Arabidopsis thaliana: one gene and its partners. The protein of the gene in region 2 interacts with the protein of the main gene of each other region in a pairwise test. Each region holds a gene or a part of one and is shown on either strand. Other genes may lie near its edges.

Evidence for each region.
Region 1: the proteins of GRXS17 (region 2) and AT5G09830 interact in a two-hybrid assay, tested with the Arabidopsis thaliana proteins (2 studies listed by BioGRID).
Region 3: the proteins of GRXS17 (region 2) and RGLG3 interact in a two-hybrid assay, tested with the Arabidopsis thaliana proteins (one study listed by BioGRID).

What each region holds. Positions count from the first base shown.
Region 1 is NC_003076.8:3,057,103-3,062,614, forward strand, and holds AT5G09830 (BolA-like family protein), read right to left. Parts: upstream 1,724-5,512; 5' UTR 1,668-1,723; coding exon 1,608-1,667; intron 1,024-1,607; coding exon 1,001-1,023; intron 913-1,000; coding exon 714-912; 3' UTR 501-713; downstream 1-500. Other genes in the region: AT5G09820 (Plastid-lipid associated protein PAP / fibrillin family protein), read right to left, coding at 1-278; AT5G09840 (Putative endonuclease or glycosyl hydrolase), read left to right, coding at 1,925-3,810, 3,980-4,868. UniProt on the Arabidopsis thaliana protein: May act either alone or in interaction with glutaredoxin as a redox-regulated transcriptional regulator, or as a factor regulating Fe-S cluster biogenesis. The GRXS17-BOLA2 heterodimer binds a labile, oxygen sensitive iron-sulfur cluster.
Region 2 is NC_003075.7:2,514,910-2,523,842, forward strand, and holds GRXS17 (thioredoxin family protein), read right to left. Parts: upstream 5,154-8,933; 5' UTR 5,016-5,153; coding exon 4,845-5,015; intron 4,763-4,844; coding exon 4,688-4,762; intron 4,194-4,687; coding exon 2,973-4,193; 3' UTR 2,687-2,972; downstream 1-2,686. Other genes in the region: AT4G04940 (transducin family protein / WD-40 repeat family protein), read right to left, coding at 1-20, 298-380, 466-641, 1,024-1,267, 1,376-1,579, 1,673-1,773, 1,908-1,935, 2,018-2,143; ALN (allantoinase), read right to left, coding at 7,392-7,523, 7,625-7,723, 7,862-7,972, 8,048-8,158, 8,231-8,386, 8,470-8,596, 8,685-8,824, 8,924-8,933. UniProt on the Arabidopsis thaliana protein: May only reduce GSH-thiol disulfides, but not protein disulfides. Participates probably to the maturation of iron-sulfur proteins and to the regulation of the redox state of the BOLA proteins.
Region 3 is NC_003076.8:25,606,271-25,613,290, forward strand, and holds RGLG3 (Copine (Calcium-dependent phospholipid-binding protein) family), read right to left. Parts: upstream 3,037-7,020; 5' UTR 2,757-3,036; intron 2,718-2,756; exon of another isoform or gene 2,657-2,717; 5' UTR 2,647-2,656; coding exon 2,578-2,646; intron 2,499-2,577; coding exon 2,414-2,498; intron 2,328-2,413; coding exon 2,187-2,327; intron 2,102-2,186; coding exon 1,988-2,101; intron 1,909-1,987; coding exon 1,731-1,908; intron 1,654-1,730; coding exon 1,548-1,653; intron 1,471-1,547; coding exon 1,352-1,470; intron 1,237-1,351; coding exon 1,086-1,236; intron 984-1,085; coding exon 927-983; intron 820-926; coding exon 736-819; 3' UTR 501-735; downstream 1-500. Other genes in the region: AT5G63960 (DNA polymerase delta subunit 1), read left to right, coding at 1-44, 122-209, 315-402; SAL1 phosphatase-like protein, read left to right, coding at 3,732-3,797, 4,024-4,099, 4,206-4,279, 4,377-4,582, 4,702-5,017, 5,109-5,262, 5,363-5,532. UniProt on the Arabidopsis thaliana protein: Possesses E3 ubiquitin-protein ligase in vitro.

The DNA.
Region 1 (5,512 bases), on a different chromosome or scaffold from region 2:
GCTTCGTAGAGCTCTTCTTTTATATGAGAAACTGTAATCTCTTCTTGTTCTTGTTCTTGTTCTTCATCTTGTTGTTGTTCATTTGGGGAGGAACAAGAACTCTGTTCTGTGACTTTCCCGATGAACATGGGTCTGAGCCTAAATGAGTTGTCACTAAAACTCAGCGTTTTGCCATTAGAACTGGTGAAAGAGACTAATACTTTCACGTTTCCTGTTCTTCTCGAGATTGCTCCTCGTGAAGCTGCCATTGATGGTGGCTGGAAAAGGTTACTCGTCATTAGCAGTTTATACACCAGAATCTCTAAACCCAATGGAGCTTAATAAGAAGTAGAAGAAGAAGATGGGATTTGAGGAAAAAGAGAGAGAGATAGATTTATGGGGAGGAGAATGGACAGTTTTTTTTGGTTATTTTATCCATCTTTTAGCATCTATCTCTCCCCCCCACCATACACTGCACTGACTCTATTATAAAATTTAGCCAATCCCATTGGTCTTTTTTTTCTTTTTTAAGATGGTGTCATGGTAAAATTCTCAAAAAAATCTCCATCTAAATTGAGAAAAACCCAATTTTTGTTATATTTTGCAACCAATTGCATATGTTTTAAAAAAGTGTTTACACTTCATCAAAAGCAGTAATCGGAGTACAGTAACCACAAAGTATCAACATAGTAAATGCTCTGTTCTTTGTCACAAGGCTTTTAAAAAACAGAAATTCAGGCATCTTTGGTTAAGGTTGCAGAGTCTTGTGATGGTGGCTTCCATTGTTGTGGAGTCTGAGCTTTCTTAATAGAGAGAGCATGAATCTCTTTCATTTCTTCTTCTAGCGCAGCATTCACCATACGATGCCTCTCCAGCAATCTCTTCCCTTCGAATTGTTCAGAGACAACCTCCACTTCAAAACTCGAACCACAACTGCAATAAACAGTTTTGCTGATATTAAGAACAAGAAATTATGCCATAAGCCAGAGAATCAAATGTGTATTGACAATCCGGTACTTACCCTCCAGATATGTCAATGACTTCCTGGTACACACAAAAACAAACAATGTCACTAAAAAATTCTAAAAGCTAAAGATTGAAACAATTGGAACACATGAATCAAGTGAAAAGGGAAATAGATTGACATTGAAGTAACTTCAATCTTCACATGTTATAAAGCAAAGAAACTATACACATCCTTGGATCTGCTTTTTGAGTTCTAGTTCACAAAAAACCATGACACAAATAAAATTTTCCGACAAGAACACTCACTACTAAGTTGCTAATACATCAGGAACACTACGTCATCAAATCCTGAGCTCAGTATCACACTGCATCAAATTACACCTAACTACGCAAACAACCACCTTTTATATTCTGTTTCAGAGCTGAAAGACAACACATAGTGATGTATAATCTAGATGCTGAGATTATTACAATACATAGTACCTCTTATGATCCAACTATCAAAGTGTATGATTTTGATCAAAGTGAGCAGGTCAAAAATCTCAAATTTGGCAATTTTCCCAGATCAATTTGATGATTAGGGTTTCAAAGTTTCCCACAAAAGTTTCAAACCCTAATCAATAGATGAAATTGAAAGAAGAAAGCAGTATAAGAACACTCACGAGATGAATTGGCTTAAGTTTCGAAGTCAATGAAGCTTCGACTTGCTCCTTCGTCACCATCTCTCTCTCTCTCTCTCAAACAAAAATTGAAATCCCTAATTACTGTACTCATTGAATTAGAATATTAAACCATACGCTATTTGGTTTTGGTTTAGCGAGAGTACGGTTTAGTTTGGTTCAATTGGGATACCATTCGGTTATCGACAATTCCAAAATAATAACTAGGGTTTAAGCTCTGCTTTCCTTTACTTCGTCTTCCTCACTCCTAAAACCCTCTCAGTCTCTCCATTTCCCGGAGCAAAAATAGCTCTCCGACCATGAAGTTTGGATCTTTACCATCCAAATCCCTTCTCTTCCGCCTCTCTTCTTCCTCCACAACCCAATCTCACCGTCGAACAATTACCCTTTTCATCACTAACATTCATTCCTCTCCATTCTCCACCACAACCACCTCCGGCTCCAATTTCGTCTCCGGATCCAGCCATTCTCCCTCTCGACGTCCTCAGCAAGACGAAGAGTCCCGATCCGTTAGGGTTTCGGTCTGGTGGGACTTCCTGAGCTGTAACTTACCTGTAGACACCAATGTCTACAAAGTAGCACAATCAATCACCGCCGCTATCAGAAACAGCGGAATCAAAGGACCAATCACAATCACAGCCTTCGGTGACGTTTTACAGCTCCCCAGATCAAACCAAGACGCTCTCTCCGCTACAGGAATCAGTCTCACTCATGTTCCTAACGGTGGTAAGAACAGTGCTGATAGATCTCTAATCACAGATCTTATGTGTTGGGTTTCTCAGAATCCACCACCAGCTCATCTTTTGCTAATCTCTAGTGATAAGGAGTTTGCAAGTGTGTTACATAGATTGAGGATGAACAATTACAACATTTTGCTTGCGAGTAAATCATCAGCTCCTGGTGTTTTGTGTAGTGCTGCTTCTATTATGTGGGATTGGGATGCTTTGATTAAAGGAGAGTGTGTTACTGGTAAGCATTTTAATCAGCCTCCTGATGGTCCTTATAACTCTTGGTATGGTCACTATAGGATTCCTCTTCTTGATCCATTTGCTATTGCTACCACTACTGAGCAATCTTCGTCTAGTGTGAAAATCGAAGAACTATCCGAGTCTGTGAATTCGAATGCTGTTGTTAACCTTCGTCCTATTCCAAAAGAAGTTGTTGATAAGATTCGTTCGATAGTGAGTTTATATCCCAAGGGGGCTGCCATTACAGAACTACGTGCTGAGCTGAGTAAGAGCAACTTGGCTATTGATAAAGATTTCTATGGACATAAGAAGTTTTCGAAGTTTCTTTTATCCATGCCAGATATCTTACAGGTTACTACAGTAAGTGAAGGCTTGTTTATGATTCGGGCTGTTACCGAAAAGAAGCCTCCGATGCGGCTTGATTCTAGTCCTCGTTTGTCTACTGCTGTTGATCAGAAGATTAAAGATAAGGAAACTGTTAATGCTCCATCACCAAAGCTAATTAGCGATGTAGAGCTTGCTGCTGAAAGAAGAAGAGATGGCTTACTTGGAAAGAAGCAGGAAAAGGTATTGGAGAGTGATAAAATTGTTAAAGAAGAATCATCAGAGAGTTCTCAAGACCCAATTCTGGTCGGCCAGAAGGATGTTAAGGCAAATGTTAAACCCGTCGAGACGAATCAAGTCGCTCTTGTTGCGTGGAGTGATTCGTCCATGGAAGATGGCTTTTTTCAAAAGCTAAAAAGACTGTGGTATGGTTCACCTGAGATGGAATTAGAGCATCTCCCAGAAATGAAGAGCGTTTCTGGAAGTGGAGACACACATAGAGAGGATAATGACTTAAAGTCATCAAGTCAGGGAAGTGGAAACAAACATAAAGAGGATAAGGACTTAAAGTCATCGAGTCAGGGAACTGTGCCCATGTCTCAAATCTCACCTTCTTTCGTTGCTGAGTCGGTCGATGAGGTAAAAGTTGGAGCTGATGACGTAGACAGTAAAGATAAAGATGCAAGTCCAGGCTTTTTAGGTCGCCTTTTGAAGAGTTTCAAGTTCTGGGGAAAGAATACAAAGTCTAGCAAAGACTCTAGTGGGAATCAGGAGCTTGTCAATGTTGATTCTCAAGTACAAGACATATTTGCAAAAGAGTATTTTTGGAGTGATATTGAATCTTTCATTAATTCTCCAAGAGGCTTTGCTATAGTATCTCACTCGAGGACAAGGTGCGTACATTCTCTTCCCTCCTGATTTGGCAGGACTTTGATTAGATATTGATTAATATGTAAATCTATCTTAGGTTCAGAACTATTACAATTGGTTCTTGCATTAGCCATTTGTTGTCTTTTTTGGGACGAGTATTCAGCTAATGCTGTTCCGTCTTAACCTGGTCAGGGAGGTGATGGCTAAAAATGTGCAGGAGGAAGGGCCTTCGTGTCTCAGACTGCTCGATGAATCAAGCATGCTTCATTTAGTTACTTTGCTAATATCAGAAAAGAAATGGATTGAAGAAACCCCATCTTCTTCTTTACCATTCAGAATCATCAAAGGATCTAGCCCTGGCCACCGTCATGCTTCAAACGGTTTGAGCTCAATCTTCTCGGATTCTTCAAAATCACAGTGGCAGAAACAAAATGGTGAGAAAAGCGGCAAGAACGTTGCTCATGCTGGAGTTTCTGTTGGTTCTGTGGACCGGAAAGAGCTGGAAAGATACAAAAGTAATGCAATAGCGGATTGTCAGAAGATGATAAAGAAGATAACAGAGGAACACCCTGAAGGGTATAGCCTGATTCGTTTCAGGAAAGACTTCTTAGAGGAGTATGGGTACCATTTAGCGGTTGACAAGCTCGGTTACGACAACCTGCAGTCTCTGATTCGAGTCATGCATGGAGTGAGAATAGCATCTGGATACATCTTTCCTTCAACTCCTTCACCAAATGCCAAGTCAAAAGAAGATGATTCGGACTTGGCATTCGCAGAACTTGGTCCAGTTTCTGATACAACAACTACCCACCCGACGACCAAAAAGCTTCCAGTATATGAACCATCACTCTCAGAGGATGAAGAAGATTCTGGTTCAGAGAGAGATAACCCAGAGAAGAAGAAGCAACAGATGATGAGTAAAGAAGGTAAAGAGAGCTCGTTATTGCAAATTCTGGATTCTTATTACACAAATAAAGATGGAGAATTGAAGGAGAATCCGGTGGAGAGGAAGCTTGTAAGCAACGGTAGAAAGCAAAAGCCTACAAAGACGTATTCTTTTGTGAAAGATTCAGAAGTCTAGTGAGTCAGAGGGTTGTTTACTGTTTAATTAACAATCTCCCGAGGAATTGAGTGTAATTAGTTGAAGCCGGTTTTGGGTTTGGTCTATGGTAAACCGAATCCGGTTAAGGAGAAATAAGATTAATATGGTTCAAACTCTTTTCAGTGGCAAGTCGCATCGTATGCATTTATTGATAGGTTTTACTGTATTACGTGATTTTTTAAATTAAATTTTGGTTCTTAATTTCAACGTTGATGTGTAAAGCACGGAATGAATGAATAGAAATAGAAAAATAAAATGTACTCCATAAAAGATGGAGTTATTTAAACATTTTATTCGATTAGATTAAATGAAGAGTTTAAAAGTGATAATGACATGCTTTTTGGTTATAAGTTAGGTATTAAATAGTTAACAAACCAAAACTAGATTTGGTATATAATTTATTGTTGACCATAATGTTTATACAGTTTTTTTTATAAATAAAAAATGAAAATTTCGGGGGTTTCAATTTGTGCCAGTAGTTTCATTTTAGTAATTCTAAAAAAGTTTATAATTGTTGTCAGAAAGATGTATCTAAGGAGTAATTATTAAATAGGAGTAAGAGAAAAGTATTTAATGAAATGTTGTGACATACATGTGGAGTTGCTTGGTGAATCATCTTTGTC
Region 2 (8,933 bases):
GCCGTCCATTAGAGTAGAACCTACCACAAGTAGAAGTCAGATATGATTAAGAGACCCTTTATTGGCATGCCCTCGATATAGCCACCATGAAGTAAATACTCTTATTAAGAAACACAAATATTCATCACTACACAGATAGTCAACTGGCAGGGATCATAAATGGAATTACTTTAACAACGAATAGGGATCATAAATGCTACTTACACACCAAAATGTATAAAGTCTCACAATAACGAAAGAAAAGCTAAATGGAAGCAATCAGATAATTCAGTATGATGTGGACGTCAAGCTAATTACCTGATACATAGAGGAGGAGCACTATGCCCAGATCGGAAGCGTAATAGGCGAGGATCACCATCATTTGTGTCAAAAATCCACATCTACAGGAACGAGGCATAAAACAAATATTATATGTGGCAAAGTGGATGCAAATAGGTTCAACGGGTAAGAGGAATCTTAGCTTACTTTAAGTGAGTTATCTGCTGATGCACTCATTAGCACCGGCTCATTGGCTAAAAAGTTCAATGAGATTATAGAACTGTCATGTGCATCCCTAATGACTGACTGAAGCCTTTTTTTGTTAAGATTCCAGATGCTTATGACACCAAAGGAACCTCCAGACGCAAGAAGGGGACGTCCATCTAACATGACAGGATAAACAACACATGTTAGAACTGGAAAGTATCGAACTTCCATTAGCTATAGAACGGTTACTACCAAAAGTTACTAGTAAAATTACAACCTACACTAATGGATCTCTTGAGCCTGAAACATGTATGGACAATTCTAATTCATGAAACAATGGGTGCATAGATGGTAAAGCTATGTAATGGAAAAATAAATATTTAGCTCCACTTAAAGACAAATGGACGAAATTATTTTTGGTCACTACACTCATAGGATATCTATCAGCAAGAAAAGATTGATAAACTATTATCCGCTACGAAATTAGATTTAAAAGGTAATAAAACCAAGAAGCGCTCAAAGATTTTACAAATAGAACTACAGGGCTTAGGTGTTTACCTGTACTGAAAGACAAAGCAGTAACAGCACCTCGCGAGGCATGTTCAAATGTTACGATCTCTTCGTCCAATTTTATGTTATGTACATGGATCTTTCCATCAGCACAACCAATTGCAACAACATCCAGGGCAGGGGATGAAACACAACTGGTGACAGATGAACCCCAACCCTTAAACTGATAGAGCATCTTCTTAGTATTAATATTCCATAGCTGCAGCGGACCCTCTTGGCTCCCTACAAGAACCTACCAATGTGGTTCCAAGTAAGAGAAACATGCAAAGAGTTAGAAAGGCTTGTCAACAGAAGACACCAGGGGAAAAAAAACTGAAATCCTGAACCAAGTATGACTCACCTTGTTGAGATAGGTATCTGGGTGAACAATAGAGGTAGGGGTAAACTTTCCAGTAAGCTGAAGATTTCCAATTGGAGCTAGATGTTCTTCGATTCCTTTGAATGCCCATATGAACATATTTCCTTCCACGTCAAGACTAAGCACATGTTCTCCAAACACCAGTAGAAGATCAACTTTAGCAACATGTTTGCTCCAAGTTGCTACCTATAGATATACCCACAAGAATTCCAACTATAAACAAAGTACTCATAGATATAAAAAAAGCAGCAACTTAACTATAGTTACAATGAGATATACCTGATGAGCACGCCTAAAGACAGCGATTTCATTGCCAAACGCAACAAATGTGTAGTCTCGGTAAGAAGCTAAAGCTCTAATTTTCTTTGGAAGCTGAGGACCTTTAAGATAACACAAATTAGATTATAAGAAAATTTACACTGCATAGACAAAACCCAATTCTAAATGCATGAATTTGAGTAAGAGAATGATTGAAAGGACAAAACTTTAGGTTTCAGAAGAAGGAAAAACTTACTGATTATGACTAGATTGAGCTTGGCACACTGCAACAAGAGAACCAAATTAACAACAGAATCGAATGAATAAAGAACACGCAAGTGAAACTATGAAGATTGGGAGCGTTACATTATAAATCTGGAAAGCTTTGCCGACGCTGACGGTGACGAAAGTCTCGGTACCCAATCGCTGGACGGAGAACGGAACCGTACTCGTTATGTAACCTATTGCTCTAAACGGTTCGAAAATTCCCATCTTTCGAGTTCGAACAAGAAATTAGGGTTTCCTCGGAAAAACGATTTTAGGATTATCAAATCAAAGAAAGGTTTTTTAAGAGCTTGAGAGAGAAAACGCGGCGCAGGAGCGATGGAGGAGATACAGCAAACAAGACCTTTGGGGTTTAGGGTTTAACGAAATTTCTTTGTCCGAATTTTAATTTTATTTTCCGGTTTAAGTGTCCGCTCGGTTTATACAGGTTCTTTATTTGGTTTGGAGAATGTTAAATTTGGTTTGGTAAAATTATGGTTCGGTTTTGGCTAAAAGTCATTGAAATGTAAAACCAAAACCATTTTAGTTTAATATTTAACTAATTGTCAATATCAGTATCAATTTTAAAATTATGATGACTTTTGGTTTAAATCTTGTTTAAATGTACAAAGTCTCGGTTAATGCTCGATTGCAGTTTGGTCTAAACTCTAAACAAATGATTTCCATTCGGTTTGATTCTAAGAAATTTGAGTTTAATCACACAAAATCCCAGCCGTCGGATCTTAAGAAACTCTGTAACATAGAAAGATTGGTGTTAATCCTAGCCGTCGGATCAAGCTTTCTTTGTTTAAACCACTCTTTGTTTTGTTACTCAGTCTAAAAGCAAATGTGGTCAAGATAACCATAAATAAAGATTATGTTGATACAAAGAGAGAAAAATAGTTATGAATCTAATAGACTCAGCAATAGAAATAACAAGACAAAGCTTGAGAAGCAACAATATCAATGTTTGTAACACCTAAAACATATTATTACCATAACTGAAATGTTCTCTCTCACCAAGGCAAACCAGCAGACAGAGACTTGTATATATTACTTACTCGGATAGAGTTGCTTTGAGATCACCACTCTCACTTAGCTCCATAATGATATCACATCCTCCAATTAACTCACCTTTGTAGTATAGCTGAGGAAAAGTTGGCCAGTTTGAGAAATTCTTAATCCCTTGCCTTACTTCTTCATCAGTCAAGATATCAAACGATCCGAAACTCACGTTTTCTCCTCTCAATGCTTTCACAACTTTGGAGCTAAATCCGCATTTCGGTTCATCTGGTGAACCTTTCATGAATAGCATTACTTCCGAGGAATTGATCAGTGCCTTCAATCTATCTTCAAGACTCTGTTCTCCAGTGATCCCTTTCTCGGTCAAGACCTTTTTCAGCTCACCGCTCTTTTGCATCTCCAAGACAATGTCTGATCCACCCATAAGCTCGCCTTTCACGTAAAGCTGAGGATAGCTTGACCAGTTTGAATACACTTTAAGGCCTTGGCGAACTTCGTCATCTAAGAGGATATCGAAACTCCCAAACTCGATTTTTTCTTGGTTGAGGATTTCAACCACTTTCCCACTGAACCCACACTTTGGTTCTTCTGGTCTTCCTTTCATGAACAGCATAACTGGTTTGGAATTGACCAGACCTTCGAGCCGAGCTCGGAGGGTCTCACTTAAGCCTGTGTTTCCTGAACTAACCCCTCCTCCTTTTCCAGCTTCATCCTGACTTTCTTTTGAACCAACTGTCGTGATCCCAAGATCTTTGAAAGCATCTTTTAGTTCACCGCTCTCGTGCATCGCTATTGCGATATCAGCTCCACCAAGAAGCTCTCCGTTGCAGTACAGCTGAGGAAACGTTGGCCAGTTAGAGAATTTCTTCAAACCCTCTCGCACTTCGTTATCCGATAGTATGTCAAAACTTCCAAAATCAACGTTAACCTCTTTCAAAATGTCAACTACTTTCCTGCTAAACCCACACCTAGGCTCTTCAGGAATACCTTTCATGAATAACATGACAGGGTGAGAATTAGTGAGCTTTTCCAAACGGCTCTTGAGAGCATCGGCGGTAGATACAGGCTGAGCTCGGTCTTGTAAAGAAGCTTTCGCATTCTCCTTCACAGTTTCAAGAATCGTTGGCCCAGCAGCCAACCCTAAGCTTGCAGGAGCAGCAGGCTCCGCAGAAGTACTAGAACCAGCAACTTTGCCAACCTTATTAGCTAAACTTGATGGATCTGCACCCTCAAGTGTATCCACAGTTTTACCATCCTTCAATAAGAAAACGAATTCACAGTCAGAAGAAAGTAACAACTTTCAGAACAATCATTACAGTGCAGTGACAAAGATTCAAGCTTTGAACACACTCTCAATCCTATAAAGACAGAAAATTGCAACCAACCAATTAAAACAAAGAATCAATAAGTCTGGAGCTAAATGGATAGGCGAACCATCTTCTTCTACTACCTGATTAGATAAACAGCTTTCAGTAATCTAACAGAGACGCAAACTAATCAAAACAAAAACCCTAAATCCTAAACTTTCGATCAAAACATAGGGACAAAGATTCAAACTTTTGAACACACTCTCAATGCTATAAAGACAGAAAATTGCAACCAAACAAAGCAACATAAAGAATCAATAAGTATGACTTCATCAATGTCTTCTTCTTCTACCAAATTAGACAAACAACTTTAAGCAAAAACAAAAACCCTAAATCCTAAGTTTTGATCAAATCATAGGGAACAAAAAAAACGTAACTTTACCTTGAAGAAGACGAAATAAGGCACAGCAGCAACAGAGTAAGCCTCAGATATCTCAGGATGTTCCTCAGCTTCAACCTAAGAAGATAAAACCAATAACAGTCAAAAACCTCATTGAAAGTGATAAAATTTTGAATTGGTCAAGAGAACAGAGACGAACCCTAAAGAAGTGAGCACGAGGGAAATCAGTAGCGAGATGAGAGAAAACTTGATCCATCTGCTTCGAAGCATCACACCAAGAAGCCCAGAAGTGAAGCACGACTGGTGCGCCGCTCTGGCGCAAGTTATCAAGCTCCGCCTTTGAAACGATATCCTTCACCGTACCGCTCATCTTCGAAGAGGGAGAAGGATCTCTTAACACTTTTTTTTTGTGTTGTGATTTACCAATTTATTATCGAGCAGAATACACTCTGTTGCTGGAGAAAGAAAGGAGATTTATGTAAATATAACAAAATAAAAGGACCTAACGATACAATTAGGGTTTTTGTGTGCCCAATGTGATGCTAAAATTGCTCACTTATGTAATTTCTTTTTATAAAAATAGTAAAATTATATATGTCAGCGGAAGGAAAAAAAAATTGGAAATTAAGTAAGGTAAAAATGTTAAAATTCTAGGTGATAACAATCTTTAAAAATAAAATAATTTTGAAAAATATTAGATACATTTAAATTAAAACTACTAAAAGTAAGTTTGACTAATAAAATCTTAATCCTATTTTTTTCTTTCTAAAATTAATACTAATTAGAGGAATTGTATATATCAATCCTCATCGAATTGGATTCTCATAAAACAGTCTAAGAATTAGGTTACAATTCTTTTTTTCTCCTTTGTTTTGTATGTGTGGAATTGTTTAATTCTGTTATATTAAAAATCCACAATTATTTTAGCATTTGTATTTTTAGTTATTTTATTATACTATCTTTTTTTTTAAATGATATAATATATAAGCTTACATCATTTAGATAATTGATGCATCTATTAATTTTTGTGTAACATCACTATTTAAAATGATACAAAATTTACATCAATGGAAACTGATACTAGTTAACGACTAATCATCGACTATAAAATGTGATGTAAATGTTTACTTAATTTGTCAAAATCCTACATTTCTCCCACAAAAAAAGAGGTTTCATAGTTTTCTTACATATAGTGACCTTGGTTTTTTGGTGGTGTAAAAAAATATAAAACTTAGTATGCAAAGTTTGCCTTCATATTAATTAATGAAATTACATAATACTTTTTAAAAACAATTAATTGAAAGTCATTTTATTTAATTAACATCGATTATCCTACTATATTATTTGGGAAGTACATTTTAAATGTAACCTTTATTTTTGTAATTAATTACATGATAATGCCATTAGAAAAATTTAATCAAAAACAAAACTCTTTAATGACGTCATTAAGGTTACCAAAACTTTGATAAATATAACGTGGTCTTACCTAGATATTCCTCTGGGTATTCTTGTGATTCAATTATGTTCACGTCTGATCGGCGAAGACGTTTAATAAGGGGTTTGTTCTCGGTGAGAAACCTTTTCCGAACATAAGCATCTACAGATCGGATGTAGAACCCACGTTGAGCCATAGTTTGTTTCATATTGTCAAGAACCGTTTTCAAGCTCAATTTCTTAGGGATGTGAACATATTCTACATCCCACAATTCCTTAAGAAAAAAGAAAAAAAAGTATACTGATCCGAAAACAATTAACAAAAAGCGAACAATATACTACTACATTACCTTCATAGGCTGCAATCCACCTCTATTAGTGACCACGTTGGTGCTTAGATCTTGCATTGGAGGAAATCCTTTTGGATGAGGAGTTTTTGATTTTGATAAAAACTCATCTCTACCACGTTCAACTTCTTTCTCTTCCTGTTTCTTCACACTGCGTCTTCCCTTTCCTCCAGGTTTTCCTCTTCCTCCAACCATTGTTGACAGAATCGGCGCAAAATGAGGGTTCAGACGAAATGATGGAGGTTTGTACGTATTCTACACCCTCGGTGATTTATTATATAAATATCAATTTAAGAGAATAACCTACTCAAATCACTAACTAATCCATGATTATTATATACTCATACTTTGAGTTTGGATTACAAAAAAAATATTCGAGTATGAAAAAACTATTAAAATGGTTTTATTGAAAAATCATGTAATATTAAAATAAATTTAGTAATAGTACATTAAATATGTAAAATAAAATAATATAAAAATAAATAATAAATGTATCATTAACCTATAAATTAGAAGTTGAAGAGCTTACATTAATTATTTAATAGACACATGACAAATATATATGATTTTGACCAACTTTCATATATATGATTTTGATAAACTGATGCAAATACTTAGAACACTTACAAAAAGTGATTTAAAAAGATAACATCTTTTTTTTTAGTTGACTCAAATTAACATTAGTTACAACAAGCAATGCAAATATTATGTATACTTTTAAATTATTTGCATCAACAATATATACATCATTTACTTAAGCGATATAAATTATTTGCATCAACAATATATACATGAGTCCACTAACCTTAAAGCCAACAACAAGATTTAGAGAGTCTTAAACTTACAATTGGCAAAAAAGACTCACTCATTACATCAACCATCTTGCAACATGAGAGCAACTCTTAATCGCATATTTACATTTGTTTAAATGGTGCAGATCAAGATCTTTTAAATCCCTTTTTAAGTTAAGTAGTTGCAAGTTGCAGAGACCCGCAAGCATCAGAAGCATGCTTGCCTTCTCCAAAAACCAAGTTCCCTCTCACAAATGTCGAAACCACTTTGCCTGATAATCTTCTTCCCAAATAAGCTGAGATACTCTATTGTACACCACAAGAAGCAAACATAACATAAAGATTACACATTCGTGTTATTCGAGCTTAACCATTAGCTATCTTTCTAGAAAAAACTGTGTACTTACAGGGTGTTTGAAGTGAATTGGATGATCTTCATCTACATCAAATTCGGCTTCAGGTTCCCACACAACAAGATCTGCGTGTTTTCCAACCGTAACCGCTCCCTATAATTAAACCATTACTTATAAGCTGCGATAAATGGACCCCGAATCCTAATAAAAACACGTCTATATTATGCCAGTGTGCTGTGTATGGACAAAAAAGAGAATACTGAAGCTGCGTTTTTTTTTATAATAACGAACCTTAGAGTGTAGTCCAGCGAGTTTGGAAGGCCTATCACTCCACCAAGAAGTTACCTGCTCGAGCGTTACTCCATACTTTTTTCCATAAGACCATGTGATAGGAAGAACAAACTGCAATTGGCTCTTCCATGAGTTTTTTTGTGCTCTCACAGTTTCTACATATTACATTTTTAAGACTAAACGAACCTGTAAAGAAGATATCCCACCCCAAGCTTTCAAGAAGTTGCCATCACTCATAAGTTTGAGTTCAGGCTTTGTAGGTGAATGATCAGAGCTCAGCATATCAATGTCTCCTTCCTAATCAAATCAAAACCTCAGAATCAACGAGTAAGGTATCACAACAAAGATTGCGTAAAATATATATTATACCATCAAAGCTTCCCACAATTTTTCTCTATTTGCCGCATCACGTATAGGAGGGGAGCATTTGAAACGAGTATCACCTTCTGGAATCTCTTCGGCTGAGAAAGCTAGGTAATGTGGACATGTTTCAACAGTAACACTGTCTCCTTTGCCTTTTGCTTCCTTTACTCCATCCAAAGACAAAAAAAATATGTAATGAGATACAACCAAATTCTAGTGCTTCTACTGCTTGAACTCTTGAATACCTTTATCAAATCCAAGGAAGAACTGGCATCAGATAAATGTACAATATGAAGATGAGCTCCTTCTGCAGAACCACCAATTCTTGTGTTTTCAGTAACCGATAATAGGTTTCTGATTGCTCCCTCCTCCCTAATTGCTCAAATAAATATTCCTTTCAGGTACAATGATGACTCTGTAGGAACTTATATATATAGAGTGAAAAGATGCAATATCTCACCATGAAGTAGGCCTGGTTTTTAAATAAGTCAGATAAGAACGAGGATCATTTTCACTACCATCTTCAATCTCTAAGTCTCTCTCGATCTCTGCGTGTACAAGCAATGGTCGTTTGTATTTAGCTAATACAGATAGTCCTTCCTGCATAAACAAACAGTATCAGCGAGACAAGGGCCAATGAGGTTTTTGTAATAACTATTGAATCATGAGAGAAGGATCATAAGACTCAAGAAACAAAACCTTTATATGA
Region 3 (7,020 bases), on a different chromosome or scaffold from region 2:
CAAGGGAAGAGAAGCCGAGTTATATTGCAAAAACGTGTCTCAAGGTATGCTGCCGTTTTTCCCTTTCCTATAGACTCTTTGATATATCTATAAAATTTGATACTTTCGTTGTGTTATTCAGTGGCTGAGCTTGAAGAGGTTTTTGGGAGGCTGTGGACACAGTGCCAGGAGTGTCAAGGCTCTCTTCATCAAGATGTCTTGTGCACCAGGTTTGCTTATATTTTTATCGATATCAATTTCTTTTAGAAATCTTTCAGCAGGTAAATAGGTTCTGATCCAATTTCCTTTCTGGATTTCTTATTGGTCTTTTACAGTCGAGATTGTCCAATATTTTACCGGAGAATGAAAGCACAAAAAGACATGGCTGTAGCCAGGCAACAACTCGACCGTTGGAGCTTCTAATAAGTATTTAAGGTTGTTTTTAGCTCTCTCTTTTTTCCATTGGTATCGTTGCTGTTACACTTTCCGCTTGATTTAGAACTTGTAGGTCTCTTTGGAATGTTATAAAAAGGACCTCTTCGGCTTATTTGTACGTAGCTGTTGATTAATACAAAAAGAGAACTCTTCTCGCATATCTCCTTGTTTCGGCAGGCTAAGAATTACATATGAACTACAACTCGAGATTTATGCTTTACAATTCTTCTGCTTGGACTGTACAATGTTCTACAGAAGTATAAACATGAAGCTCAAGTGCTTAACCATATAATTTGTCTCATCTCTAAGAATTTTTCCGAGTCAAGTGTACAGCCTTATCCTTGTTGTTATTGGTTGTCTGCATAGTGGGCATGTTGTGATAACAACTCCGCATTCCTTGCATGTCTTTATTTGAAATAAAAAGTATCGGAGATGTCACAAAATCGATCTAGAAGCAGTACAGTTCATAGAACAAGTAAGAGTATAATTGTTCCTTTGAAATTTTCACATACCGTGTGACCGCAGCTAAAAGCCATGTCCTTTGGATTCGTCAAGCAAATCGGGCATACCTTTTTGAAAAACAAAAGGAATGTAAATCTCAGTATCAGAGAAACTGAGTATACTCATTGACAAAAGAACAGAAACAAAGGCAGAAATAATAGAGTATTTACCGGCACTGTGGAAGGAGCGAGTCTGTCACTTTTCTCTGCAGTTTCTGTCATCTGATTTGGCACCGATCTAACAGCATTGTCACGCTCTATAACCTCTGGTGGTGGCGGGAGTGGCTTGTGGTGCTGATGGGAACTGCGCACTGGTTTTCTACTGTTCATAAGCACAATCAAAGGTTGGTTTAGTTGGCAAAGAATCTAATGCAATAAGACCATAAACAGTGAGTGATACAAGTAGTTTCCAACGGTAAATTTTTTATTGCATTTACTTGAGACTTAATGTAGCCTTGTATTGAAAAGGGATCTCCATGAGAGCTGCGAGTGCGAAAGCAGCCTCCTTCTTAGCCGCATCTTTGTGCTCTGACATTATCTTCGTGAAGTTTACAAACTGTGGAACAAAACACAGTTTTTCATGATTCATGTTTCAGGAACAAAACAGAGCTATTCAGGGTTTTATTATATTACCTGGAAGTTATCGAATTCACGGTGAGGAATATTGTCATCGAATTGTTTCATTGTGTCCCATGGTCCATCTCCTACTCCAACCAAGACTATCGACAATGGGTAATGGCTGGAAAATTTATATCAAACATCATTAGTATACATATGAAGTCTGATCATGAATATGAGCTTATTGAATAGTTTTACCTCGCTGCCATTATCGAGTTCATAGTAGCTTCTTCCTGTGGACTAAGTCGACCAAGCGGCACATCTGGATTTCTTGTGACCTGACCATCTGCGATAATGACGAGAACATGGTATTGCATATTGTTCTGCTCAACTATGTTGATGGCAGCATCAATAACCGGTGCAAACGAGGTAGGACCTGTGAGGGAAGAATACACTGATTAATCTTTACGATAAGAGAGAACAAAACTGCTCCATTTTTGAAAGTTCAAAAATACCGGACAACTTCAAATGTGGGACAATCTCTCTATATCTTTTAACTGCGTTTTCCAATCCGTCGCAGCTTTTGTTCTCGGGATAAAAGCTGAATACATATTGATCTCGCGTTGTTACTGCAGGAAGAAGAAAACATAAAACCATTAAGAACTTTGGTTTATCTTATTCATTCATCTTGAAAGCAAGAAATAAGAAACTAACCATCGCCAAAACCGAAACAAGGTATAAGATCATCTTCATCAAAGGGAGACAAAGTACGACCAATAATCGATATTGCTTTCTCATATGGATTCTGTCTTTTACCAATGGCATGAAGGCTTTTTCTATTGAATGAATATCTCCCTGCAATGAAAATTCAGAACATTAACCAAAACCATTGAATCTTTTCGTAAACATGTGTAGCATTTTTTATCAAATCAAATAATTACCTGTCCACTCATTGCTCTTGGTAAAGTCAATTCCTAGAATCAGATTTGAAGATTCAAGTCCAGCTTCTCTCAGAGAAGTTATCACCTAAAAAGCAAAGTTCACAAGAAATTCATCACTATGAAAGAGACTAAAATCAAGAAATAACTAAGTAAGTTTATGAGACCTGATCCAAACTGCTGAAATGATCAGCAATATACGAAGGTTGCTGATTACGTTTATTGCTCATGTTCATTGAAAAAACCCTGCAGCACAAGAACCTTCAGAAATCCAATCTTTGGAGAAGAAACCAATCAAAATCAAGAATAAAAGATACAGTTACACAAGTGGCAAGTATATATCAACCTGGAGTTTGTTGAAAACACAAAAGACTTCTCGGAATCTTTCTTGTAAGAAAAAACTTTTGTTGGAGATTATCTTCTGTAGGAAGATTAAATTATTAAAAAGATGGCACAAAAGAGAAATATGAACATATAAAAATACTTTAGCAGAAAAAAATGAACATATAAAACTATAGAAAGTGGGTTTTGTTGAATCTTGAAAGTTAGTGGAACGTGACCCTTTGCTTGCGCCGGCAAATAATCAAAACGTATTTTGCTCTCTCACACGCCATCATCAATCTAGAAATCTTTTTTAGTCTTGTCTCTGCGTCATTAATGATTTATCCATAACCCAAAATCATAGACCAAATTTCAACATGATTCATGTGGACAACGTGGCAAAGCTGTAGCTCTTGTCTGAAGAAAATTATTTGGGCTTTTGATTCCCTCAAAATATATTAACCCAGAACCGTTTTTATTGGGCTTCTTCATTCATCAAGAAGCCTTTTTGTATCTTCACCACCTATAAATTCACTTATGTTTCAACCACAACATCCACGTGCGATTAGCCCAAAACTCAACAACCAATCTACGAAGATCACTAAAGTTTTTTATTTTTATGATTTTCACCGTTTGTACTTGTTCTTTCAATTGGTGCCACATGGACCCCTAAACCAACAGAGCAAATATGGCCTTTCTTGATCTAAAATAAAGTTTAGGGTTTAAGTTCAGAGAATAAATAAGTACACTGGTGTAAATGGGAAATTCAAAAAAGTAATAATAATTGTCTCTGCAATCAGAAAATGTGAAGACATATATTTATCTTCTTGAAAAGCGAATGATGTCTATAAATTGTTTTCGAACAGCGAAGGCTCCGCTTCAATCATTTGTAGCAGTAAGAACGAATTCGAGACCTAGAAATTCATCGAACCGTCTCGTTTCTGTATTCGGACGCAAGTCTTCTTCTCCTTCATTTGTTACTCTCAGAGTTGTTTCATCGATGGCTTACGAGAAAGAGCTTGATGCTGCTAAGAAAGCTGCTTCACTCGCTGCTCGTCTCTGTCAGGTTAGGGTTTTTTCGATTCAATCATGACCCATAGATTCTAAAGTTTGATTCTTTAAGAAACCCATTTTGTAAATCTTCCAAATTTCGTTTAACATTTTGTGTTTATTGTGCATTGCATCTGTAATTGGGAATAGATTCTAGTGATATAGTGTAATGGTCCTCTACATACGAAGCTCGTGTAAATCTTTGATCAAAATCTTATCTTTGTGTTTTGGGTTTGTTTCAGAAAGTTCAAAAGGCTTTGTTGCAATCAGATGTGCAATCAAAATCTGATAAAAGTCCAGTGACCGTTGCTGATTATGGTTAGTTTGTTATACCTGTCCCTGATTAGAAAAAGCTCTTCTCTTTGAATGTTACTGAGATTGTTAGGAAATCACTTAATTTGATCTGTCTTGTGTTGAATTTCAGGTTCACAAGCAGTTGTTAGTTTAGTCTTAGAAAAAGAGCTCAGTTCTGAACCCTTTTCATTGGTGGCTGAAGAGGTGAAACTGCTTAATAAATCCTTGTTAGATGTCTCACACTTTACTTATCTTTGAGTTTGTGTTTATGGACTCACATTGTCTAAAATGATCTATATAGGACTCAGGCGATCTACGCAAGGATGGTTCTCAGGATACTCTGGAGCGCATCACAAAACTCGTGAACGACACTTTGGCTACCGAGGAATCGTTTAATGGCTCTACTTTGTCTACTGATGATCTACTTAGAGCCATTGACTGTGGAACATCTGAAGGTGGTCCAAATGGTCGACACTGGGTCTTGGATCCAATTGATGGCACTAAAGGGTACGTTTTAAAACTAACTAGCCTAAAGTCAAATCTTCTTATTTCAGAGAAAATGTAAATTTGATAGAATGTTGAGTCAGATGTTATGTTCCTGACACTGAGCATTTTCATGATTTTAGATTTCTGAGGGGAGATCAATACGCAGTAGCACTAGGATTGCTCGAGGAAGGGAAAGTAGTTTTAGGTGTGCTTGCTTGTCCAAACTTGCCGTTAGCATCCATAGCAGGAAACAACAAGAACAAATCTTCGTCAGACGAAATTGGATGCCTCTTCTTTGCTACAATTGGTTCAGGGACATATATGCAGCTCCTAGATTCAAAATCTTCTCCTGTAAAAGTGCAAGTCTCTAGTGTTGAGAATCCTGAAGAGGCATCGTTCTTCGAGTCATTCGAAGGAGCTCACTCTCTACATGACTTATCCAGCTCCATTGCCAATGTAAATTGCTTCTTTCCTTCCATGTGATTCCAGCTAATAGCTAACTAATTTTCCTCATCCATTTGATCATGTTCTATGTTGTAATATACAGAAACTCGGTGTCAAAGCTCCACCAGTCCGTATTGATAGCCAAGCAAAGTATGGAGCTTTATCAAGAGGAGATGGAGCTATATACTTACGGTTTCCTCATAAAGGATACCGCGAAAAGATTTGGGACCATGTCGCTGGTGCTATAGTTGTTACAGGTAACATTAAAGCTTACTCTCTATGAAGCTAATTTTATAGTGTCGACATGCGGATGTAAATAGATAAGGAATGCAAGGTTGATTCTTCTTTTTGGTGCAGAGGCGGGTGGAATAGTGACAGATGCAGCAGGAAAGCCACTGGATTTCTCGAAAGGGAAGTATCTTGATTTGGACACAGGCATTATCGTTGCTAACGAGAAGCTAATGCCTCTGCTTTTGAAAGCAGTTCGTGACTCCATAGCTGAGCAAGAGAAAGCTTCAGCTCTCTGATTTGTTTTTTTCTCTCGTACGTTCTTTGTTTCTCTGTAACTGTTGTTTCATTTTCTTTCACCGAATTTCACCAGTGAGAATTTCTTCCATTTTCGAAAAAGAAATAAAAATGAAATTCTGTTTTGGGCTAAGTATAAAGGGTTATGTAGAGAATTTAATATGGACCAGTAACGGGCCGTAAAAAGGCCTTTTAAGGGTTACATGCATGATGCACCGACGTACGTGTCTACAGTGCGTAGATACTTTATCTTAATACGAAAGTAAGCGCGTTAAGTAGAAAATCTCTTCATATAGAAATAATTAATATGGTGTAAATAGTTTTTTTTTTTCTTTGGTTATAGTATAACTAAAATATTATTGTGTACCATCTTACAAAAAAATATATATTATTGTGCAACTTTTAGAAATTCGTGATTTTATTCCCAATAATATCCCATTCACGATGAAAGGAATCGTTGAGACTTTGTAAATAATTAAATGTAGTCTAGTGATCTAGTCAAACTTTATAAAGGGGCGATCACAAATCTACTAGTCGCACAATTTTTTTTAATCTTTTCATGTGAATAATATATACTAGCTGCTTTGTTTTTAATCCATGTTACAAAGATATTTTGTGTTAATAATGATAAGTTGTTGATATAACACACAATAACCTGTTTTCAGCGAAAGATTTGACAAGACCTGGCCACACAAAAGGTACACACGTCATTTACAATATCTATAAAAGCAATTTGCAATATAATTTAATTAAGATTAGCATACCTCTAATTATTAATTTAGTAAGCTAGTATAAAAGAAGAGGGAAAAAGGAAGAAGAAGCATATAACCTCTTTGGAATAAAAGCATATCAGAAAAGACTAAACAAATACAACGAACCCAAAATAATTTAATTAGAAAGTTGAGAATCATATACTATTTCTTGCCAAACATAAAATTAATCAGGATTGTTATCTTCACCTACAAAAAGAAAGCAAACTTACCGAAATTACATATATATTACTAAATAAAATATAAAAATCTGAATTCATATAAAATGAAATATCTCTCTCTAAGAAAATATCTTCCTATTGGACCAATTCATTCTTGGATTGTTTACATGTATTTATGTTTTCCTCATTTGGATTATAGCAGTTTTGCAATATGCCATCTGAAATCTGCAGAGTATTCTAATAATAATAAAACTTTTTAAAATGTACAAAATTATAAAATAAAAATAAAACTATTAATTAAAAAATAGTATAAAATTTTGGTGAGTATAATAAACAAAATAAAGAGAGGAATGAGACAACGTGAGAGAAACTTATCATTGTCGCAACGGTAGGGGACTCTATACTTTGCCTACTTTTCCACAACGGTAGAGAGATTGGCAAATAAATACATTTTAAATACCAAAAACCAAACTATATTCAATCAACTAATTATTATTTTATTAGTATTACGTATATTTCTAAATCAAAATAAAAATTGGGAAGAGAAGTTGCTTCAGAG